Arabidopsis thaliana: one gene and its partner. The protein of the gene in region 1 interacts with the protein of each later gene in a pairwise test. Each region holds a gene or a part of one and is shown on either strand. Other genes may lie near its edges. The genes, in order: SWEET1 and AT1G25510.

The links.
Region 2: the proteins of SWEET1 (region 1) and AT1G25510 interact in a protein complementation assay, tested with the Arabidopsis thaliana proteins (one large-scale study listed by BioGRID).

What each region holds. Positions count from the first base shown.
Region 1 is NC_003070.9:7,511,212-7,515,615, forward strand, and holds SWEET1 (Nodulin MtN3 family protein), read right to left. Parts: upstream 2,271-4,404; 5' UTR 2,071-2,270; coding exon 2,037-2,070; intron 1,920-2,036; coding exon 1,883-1,919; intron 1,768-1,882; coding exon 1,672-1,767; intron 1,576-1,671; coding exon 1,296-1,575; intron 1,203-1,295; coding exon 1,083-1,202; coding exon of another isoform or gene 1,041-1,082; exon of another isoform or gene 999-1,040; intron 996-998; coding exon 819-995; 3' UTR 539-818; downstream 1-538. Other genes in the region: SCL1 (SCARECROW-like 1), read left to right, coding at 1-291. UniProt on the Arabidopsis thaliana protein: Mediates both low-affinity uptake and efflux of sugar across the plasma membrane. Can transport glucose, and, to a lower extent, mannose, fructose and galactose.
Region 2 is NC_003070.9:8,958,542-8,963,456, forward strand, and holds AT1G25510 (Eukaryotic aspartyl protease family protein), read right to left. Parts: upstream 2,643-4,915; 5' UTR 2,283-2,642; coding exon 831-2,282; 3' UTR 546-830; downstream 1-545. Other genes in the region: AT1G25520 (Uncharacterized protein family (UPF0016)), read left to right, coding at 3,783-3,800, 3,891-3,959, 4,277-4,336, 4,423-4,470, 4,556-4,647, 4,727-4,763, 4,846-4,893.

The DNA of each region.
Region 1 (4,404 bases):
AGCCAAGAGAGGATGAATGTAGAAAGACAGTGTCTCGCTAGAGACATAGTCAACATTGTTGCTTGCGAAGGAGAAGAACGGATAGAGAGATACGAGGCTGCGGGAAAATGGAGAGCAAGGATGATGATGGCTGGATTCAATCCAAAACCAATGAGTGCTAAAGTAACCAACAATATACAAAACCTGATAAAGCAACAATATTGCAATAAGTACAAGCTTAAAGAAGAAATGGGTGAGCTCCATTTTTGCTGGGAGGAGAAAAGCTTAATCGTTGCTTCAGCTTGGAGGTAAGATAAGTGACAAGAGCATATAGTCTTTATGTTTCATAAAACATAATTATGTTTTTACTGTAATCTTGGGTTATTGTGTAACTGGTTAAATCATCTCCATGTATTATTACCAGAGGTTAGGGGTGATCACAGGTACTAAAAGCTAATCTAACACTTATGGAAGAATTTTTCTTTCTTTTTTTTCCCTATTATATAAAAATAATTAGAGTTTTGGTTCTAAACCTATTTGCTAAGTGTGAATGAGTCTTTACATGTTCATATTTCAGTTCAAATGGTTAAATTTGTTAAGGTTCTCACTTACTATTAGGCTTATCAGTTTTAACTCTTAAACTCAAAAGCTCATTAGATCCATAAAACTCACAAAAGGCATCGTCATTCTTCATCAATCACTAGTGTATCAGTACGAAACTAGGAAACGTTACATTTTTCAGCATCATTTTTTTTACATTCCAACGAAACGAAAAGGAAAACTCTAGTTAAGCAGAGTTAATACGAAATCACATAACCAAATCATCCTCAAAAGCTCTTTTAAACTTGAAGGTCTTGCTTTCCATTAACCACATTCTGCTTCTTCTCATCATCTTTCATCTCCACTGACTTCTCATCTTTCTGAGCATCTGCAGATTTCTCTCCTTTGTTTCCACAGTAGATGAAGTATAGTATCAATTGCAGTGTCCCTAATGCACATCCAAACCCATTTGGGATCTTCGCAACAACAAAAACCCAAAGTTAGAAACAAAGTTTTGATATTTACCAAAGAAAACAACACAAGAAGGAGAAATTGTAACTTACTGCAACAAAAGGGTCACGACCGATTAGACCATAGACGAACCACGAAGTACCACAGAGGAAGACAAAGAGTGACAAAAAGAATGGCATAAACTCTACACTCTTCGTCTTTACCACCAATCTCTGTAAATCAATGAACCAAACACAAAATTTAACAAAATGAATCCAAAAGTAAAGAGTAGAACTTTAAAAAGATCCAATCCTGAGTTTGCTTACCATGATGGAGAGTGGAGAAGCGTACATGATGATGGAGAAAACAGTAGCTGCGAGACCACAAAAGAGTTTTCTACCGTTTCCTTGAAGAGCAAAGAGAGAGACGAGAGCTACTGTTGCGAATACAGCCAAAACGCAAGAGAAGATACCAAAGATCTTAATTTTCTCCTTCTTTGGTGCGTAGAAAAGAAAGATTAACACGTAGACTGTTTCGATCACTGCTCCTGTGCCATTGATTGTGCTCACAAGTGTGTTGTCTTTTGACACAAAGGGAAGTCCATACCTGAAAAAAACAGAGAAACGCAGAAACAGAGGAAGTAAGAAACAGAGCTATACTCTAATGGAAGATTAAAAACGTAAAAGAGGGAATTTTTTTTACCAAGCAGAGAGGAGACAGTTGAGGAGAGTCATTGGATAAGGGATACCAGAGAATTGTTCAGTGGATTTGTTCTTGATGATTCTCTTGAATGTTATCCTAATTTCATTCACGAACAAAAAAGAATCTTGAGTTTTTTTTTTCCAGAACAGAACAACAAGAAATCGAAAGAATCATAAATCGGTTCACTATAGAAGAGAGAAGTGATACGTACGAAGGAGCCAAGAAAAGAAACAGAGCAGTTGCATTTCCTGTAAAAAGTAGAAAAACGACAAAAACGGATTAGTAGTACTCTCAGTGATTTCTCATGGAAGAAAGACGAAGAAGATAGAAAGACAGAGAGAGAGGTTGAGGAAATGAGTTGCTACCGAAAACGCCGAAGATAGTGTGAGCGATGTTCATCTTTTGATCTCAAAGGTGGCTAAAGATTCTTCTTTTTTTCTTGTTCGTAAGCTGAGAGAGAAAGTGAGAGAATATGAGCTAAGTGTTTTCTATCGGCAAGCGTATATATATCGAGATTCAGCGTGTGTTAACCGCTTCACTGTGGAACACCAATAATTACAAAATTAATAAAAGTATAATAAATTATGAAATAATGGTATTAAATATTAAATTTTAAAAATACATGGTTCTGTTATTAATTTTTGTAGTATGAATAAAATTTGAAAAAAAAGTTATGGTTAAGAACTAATGTTTTGAGAAAACCTAAGTTTTAAATTTGAGTTAATTGAGTTATTTCTTATATAAAAAAAAAAAAGTTCCCATGATTTTGAATTCTAGTGTATATATACAGATTTTTTCTTGATACCAAATTAATTTTTGGAACGAGGTTTTTTATCTGTTACTTGTTTTTACGTCCTCGAGAGGTGAACCTGACTCTTTGGATCGACGTTTCTTTTGTAGATAGTTATAGAGATATGGTTAAATACTTAAAAATGAAATAAACACCTAAAAAGAGCAATGTCTTTTCTTCTTTTGTTTTTTGTTTGATACTAAAAGTAGCTCTGAACAAGCCAGAGTGTTCTGGGCTTGACGTTGATATGTGACTCGAGGCCCGAGCCTGTATTTTCTGCGGGGCAGTGGCTAGTGGTTCATCTTCTCCATGATGTGTTACTTTTTTTTTTTCGTTGCCCTCTTTAATAGAGATTCTAGATAAAATTTGACAGTTTAGGAAGTTTCTGGTTACATAAGCGAAACCAAACCTAACAAACTGTCAAGTTTATTTAAGGGCACCAATAAGTTTCACTAAATTTCAGTTATTCTATACCGTTGAACCACAGCCGCAGGATATACTTTTTAGTATAGTGAGTGATCTTTTTGGAATGTTTTCTAGTCACCACGAGTTAGCTTATTCAGCTTTACCCAAACCATATCGGTTCATTCATGATCATTTTAACCGGAGTAAAACCAACAAAAAGAACATTAGGTTATGATTGTGAGGCTAAGGTTAATGGATCAACGTCGGTAGATGAGTTGATTATTGAAGATGACCAAATTTGTTGAATTTTTTTTTTTTGTAGGAAAAAATCATGAAATTGGCTGTTCTCGCGTACGTGTTCATTATATATTTTTAATACGTCTAGTTCAAGAAAACAATTTAGCTATGTACGCAGTATTTAGCTAAAATTCAAGAACCTATCATAAGTCCACTGCAAATCTAATTTAGTTTATGATACCGTATTTCATCAAATGGCAGATTTTTATCAACCCATTTTTTCTTTTTTGTCGTTGGCTACATCAATATTTGTTGAGATTTTGATATTTACCTAGAACAATGTGATCTAATTACTATATGAAGGCAAAACCAAAATTTAGCACAGTAACATGATTACTAGACTGCTAGATGATTCAGTCTGCATACTTTTATGCTCTCTCATCTTTTGTGAGTTGAAAACACCTTTTAACTTGTTATCCACAATAGTCTTACTTTTAAATCCGAATCTAAAATGCAGAAGCTTGAAAATCTTTGGATGTGGACGAACAAATGCCATTATATATTAAGCTTTCACTAGGTAGGCACAAATTATCTGATAATTGTAATAAATTATCACCAAAAACAAAGAAAATCGAGGATTGAGGTTTGGTTTGAGTCCGACGTCAATGATTGAAAGCAAAAGAGTACTGAACTAGAGAGAAAAGGAAAAGACTATCAGAAGAGTGAAATGATGATGACGTTGGTATCAGCAAGCACCACATGGCATGGCACAACTCTTCACACGAGTCACGTAGCTCTTTCCTTTTCCAGACATATTCGACCTTCCTTGTCCAAGTTGTCCTCTCTTTCAAATTTGTTTTTTTAATAAGAAATTGGACCACTATTGTGTACTTTTTGGTTAGAAGGATCGTTAATATCGAAAAAATCAGAATGAATGGAACAAGCGGAATAAATAATTAACATTTTCTCGTTTTATTAAATTTTAGTGTATTCATTCATTTTCGATTTTATTTTGTAGGTGATCACACATCAATATTTAAATAAGAGTTTGCCTAATACATATATACAAGTGACCTAACGATTATGTAACTCTAGAGACGATGAAAAAAAAGTCACCTAACGTAACTTCTACTACCTTAAAGATAAGCTCTAGAGACGAGCAATAAATATATACAATCTCTCGATATCGATCATCATATTCTTGATGTAACAATTCAGCAGATAAATTTTTCTTTTTTAATCGAAGTTCAAAGAGTTTTCTTGATACGATCGAATCAAACGATAACGATATATATATATAA
Region 2 (4,915 bases), 1.4 Mb from region 1:
TGTTTTTGGATGAACAAAGGAGAAAGTAAAAGGTTGACATATAAAAAGGAGAAAGGAAAATAAAGCTTTTTTTTAAGGACAAAATGATTGAACCCATAGCTGCCACTTCATATGTTGTGATGGCAAGTAGTGGCACCATGACTTCGCCACCTCTCTTTGTGCCATGTTTTTTTCTTTCTCTTTTGATAATATAAATCTCTGTGCCATGTTACTCTTTTAAAAAATACTGTTTACATAGAATGATTAGAGTTCATTAAACATATCCAATAGAATATCACCAGAGTTAATTTAGTTTTGTGTAAATTCATCTTCCATAAACATATCACTTTTTTCTTTGTTTCATATCAGTTAGTACTAGGGATTACACTTTCATGATCATAACTCATATAAGAGATTGTATTTTCAATCATTCGTTTCTTGGTTTACAAAGATTTTGTTATTTTGTATCACATCACATATTGTATTTGGGCTTAACTTCTTCGATCACACATTGTATTTGGGCTTTAACTCTCAACACTACGAGTATTCATGCGTCATAGAAAAGAAGGAGTCATTCATTCGTGTGTGATGTGACCTGTAACAAGGCCCCTCAAGATTCATTGTTCTACTCTTTAATCATAAAATTAGCAAAAACAAATTCCATCTTTTTTTTACTCTTTTTCACTCTATGCATTGCAACAACAAGTACAAGAAACAAACACAACCAAACAGTAGTACAGTACTCTAACTTAACATTACTATCTTTTAAGTGACTTTTCCTTTTCATTGTAACTCAAATATATTTATAGAAAAAACAGCTTAGCATTTTTGTTTTTTTTGATGAAAACAGCTTAGCATTTATTAGACGAGAATCCAATGAGAGAATTTGCCAAATCGAAAGTGACACGTGTCCCTTGTTGCTGCACGTTTCCGATAATCGCTAGTGAACTCGCCGTCGGTGCAAATGCCAAACAAAATGTCCCCACCGAGTCAACCGGAATCATGTAGTTCTTCGCCGGCAAAGCCAACATCTTCCCGCCGGGGAAATGAAAAGCCACGGTCGGGACTTCTACCGTCGTCTTAGCCGAAAGGTTATAACACGTGTCAAACATCGCCACCCCGGCTGCTTTTTCCAAGTCCAACGTTCCTTTCACGAACGAGTCTCTAAGCGAGTTATAGATTTCGGTCTGGAGACGAGTCACGGCGGTTCCTGAGTCGATGATGATCCCACCGCTGCCTGACTCGTCCATCTCGAAAGAAGACTGAGGAATCTGAAGCAACTCGCCGCCGACGCTTATTCCGGTGAGGCCTAGGTAGTAAAACGTGTCGAGCTGGTGGTTACGTAGCAACGGAGCCACGACGGCGTCAGGAGAAAGAGAAGTCCCGAAATCCACGGTCGAAGCCGAGTCTGAGTCACGGTCAACGAGACAGTACGAGAACGACGTCGTGTTGAGCTGCGACGGAAGAGCTAACAAACCACCGCCGAGTCCAAGTAAACCGGCGGCGCCGACGAACAACCCTTCGTTGCTGTGTCCACAACCAACGGCGACGTTTTGAACTAGAGTTGAGCCGATTGTGAGAGTCTCGGTGGCGAAATCTCCAACGGTGTAAGAACCATCACCGTAAGAAACCTCGTAAAGACACGTGGCGTTTCTACATTCTGAGACTTCAAGGGCATTGCACTGTGGAGTGTCACAAGAGAGAGGCTCGTAAGAAGAAGACGACGATGGCTCGAAGATTGGTTCGGTTTGGTGGTAACAGTCAGCGCAAGGAGTACATTGTAGCCAGTTCACGTCACTTCCAGTATCTAGAACCATATAAACTTCACGCGCCGGTTTTCCGATACCGACGCGTGTGAAGTACTCGCCACTTCCTTGAGTCGTGCCGGAGATTAAAGGAGCTTCGATATCTTGTTCCTCAGTGGTGTACATTGTGCTGATGGGTTTGAGATCTGCTTTGGATATGTTGTTGATGGCTAGATCTAAACGGGTTATGAGAGATTTGACTCGGGCTGTGTCACGGTTGAGTCTGGCTAGTGTGAGTGACTTATAGTCTGAGTGTTCAGTTCCTCGGACGGAAACTCGTGAATGAAGCTGCAAGCTGAAAGAAGAAGAAGCAGAGTGAGTCTGTTCTTCTTGCTGGTTTAACCGAAACGACGACGTATACTTGGTTCTGTGGATGGAGTCAGCGACATTGAGAATTGAGGTAGTGGTTGTGGAGGTCTCTGGTAAGATTCTGGAGAAAACAGAAGAGTGTGAAGTGAGGAAGAAGATGAAGAAGAAGAAGGAGTAGTTAGGAGACATTTTTTAGATTCCGACCGTTAACAGTGAAGAAGATGAAGTGAATGAGGTTTATTAAAGAGAAGACAAAAGTGTGTTTGGTGGGGAAGGGAAAATGAGACAAAAGCTTCTTTTAATTAAAACAAAGACAAGCTGTGTTTTGGGGGTTTGCAGATTTCGAGGAGATTTATATAAGTAAGTATCTCTTCTTGAAGAATTAATCCAAAGATTAGATAAATGGTTAAAGAGGAAGAGGAGGTTTCTTCATCCTCTTTAAGTGTGAGGATTTAAATAAACTTGTTTTATGATCTCAATGCGGTTAGTGTGGAGATTGTTGTTTTAGATTTTATTAAGTCAGCCACTTTTGAGTGTTTCACATCTTCGCACTTTGACAAATTTTATTTGGCTATGAGCTTAGCTTTGTTAATGATGACTTTCATTCAAATTATAACAGCTCACTTATTTCATTTTATCCAGACCTATGTCTATAAAGCTATATGATACTAAACAATTAACCTAAAAAGAAAGCTATAACTGTAAACCAATACATACATACGCAATCTGACAACAACAAAAAAACATACATATGCATATCATGTTAAGGTATTAACAATGTGGAGGAATTTGCTGACTTAAAAATGGTGAATTTATGGTCCCTCATGGGCCTGTGGGTAACTCTTATCTAGGCTTTTAACTTGGATGTTTGGGCCATTTCATACCCCAAGTCTACTACATTAACTCATTAACCTTGCTGCCTAAATCTAAACTATAAATTCTAAAATACACTTCTAATCTCAGCTTAACATGATATGCAGTTGAGATAGATAGAATATTGCCACCTGATTTTAGTTATTCATCAATTTTAGAATTAAATAAATTAATATTAATATAAGTACAGTTGGATCAAATCAAATATAATTACATACGTTTGCGAATCAATTCGCCACCAATCAGAAATCGGTCAATTTTTTTTTATTTGTATAAAATAGTAGGATAAAACGAAATAAAATTTAGTTGAGATAAGCGAAAAATACTAAAATACCCAATCAGTTTTGAGCATCTCTCAAAAACTTACGTGTTATACTATTCTAAACGTTACGTCTCAATCGTGATCGCGACAAGTTAGTTATCAAAGAAGTAAAAGTCTTTATTGTTTTGCTCGAGCAAGTGACGCAAGTCGCAAACAACAACACAAGGGAACAAATTAACATCTTCTAAACTCAAGTTGGGTTTTCTGGGTCCCACACATTAAAATCGTTGGTTGTTATCAATCCACGTGGTAAGATCTTAAGGGTTAAAGAATCAGAATCAAATTCACCTACAATCCCCAAAAAAAAAGGATTCATCTTTTAGCTCTTCAGCGAATGTTCGTCTCGTCTATTTGCTCTCTCTCGACGACTGTTAATTAACTCCGGCGATTGATCACTCCGTCTTCTTTGTAACACAGCCGGAGAAAAATCGAAAGTTTCGTTTTTTTCTTCTCCTTCGTAGCTAATTCGCCGTCGATTTTATAATTCGGCAGCCATGAGCTCGGTTTTGCAGGTAGAGTAAAAGATTAATGTTTTCTGGGGAGTAAACTCGTAAGAATCGTTGTGGAGCTAATCTGGGTTTATGATTGTTGGGGTTTTATAGGGTTTTACGAAGTCACTTGCTATGACCTTTGTATCGGAGATTGGTGACAAGACGTTTTTCGCTGCAGCAGTAAGTGTTTCGTCTCCTCTTCGCTTTAGTTTTAGATTTTGTTGCTTCATGTAATCTATTGAGGGTTTAAGGTCGATGAAGTCAATGGCTTTTACATGAATCGAAGTCTAAAGTCTTACTTATTGGATTGCCTTTTCCTGATTAAGAATCTAGATGGCATCTTTGGATCCTTTGTCTGTAGCTTTTATATTGCCATTCAGTTTCATAGTGTTTTGGTAGTTTAGAATCTGCCACAGGCTCTTTGAAGGTGTGTAAGATACTTCTGTTGTTATCTTGATTTTGCAAGCTTAAACTCTTTTTTTTTTTTGTCATATCAGATTTTGGCTATGCGTTATCCTAGGAGACTTGTGTTGGCTGGTTGTTTATCGGCTCTGATTGTAAGTTTTTCTGAATGCTTTGACCTATTGGTTTCAGTGACCTCTCTCCATAGATTTTGAAGCTTATGTCTTTGTTTAATTCTTAGGTTATGACTATCCTCTCTGCTACTCTTGGATGGGCTGCTCCTAATCTGGTATGGCTTCAACTTATTTTGTATTTCTACATAAGCCTTTTTTTCTTACTAAATAGTAAATACTGATTCAAACCCTCACCTTCAGATCTCTCGCAAATGGACTCATCACATAACAACATTGTTGTTCTTTGGTTTTGGGCTATGGTCTTTGTGGGACGGTTTCAAAGAAGGAGGAGGGTAATACTTCTTCATCATATTTTGTTGTCATAAGGATGATTTAATCCAAGATATTCAGATTATCTGACTTTGTTGGCAGGGGTTCGGAAGAATTGGCTGAAGTCGAAGCAGAACTGGTTTGTTTCTTCTTTCTGCATGTTCGCTCTCACGTTTAGATAAATGCTTTTGTGGCTTGACGTTCTTGTGTTTTAATTATAGGATGCTGATTTGAAGGCTAATGGTAAATCTCCAAAAGACAGTAGTAAGGTATTGAACCAAAACGACAAGA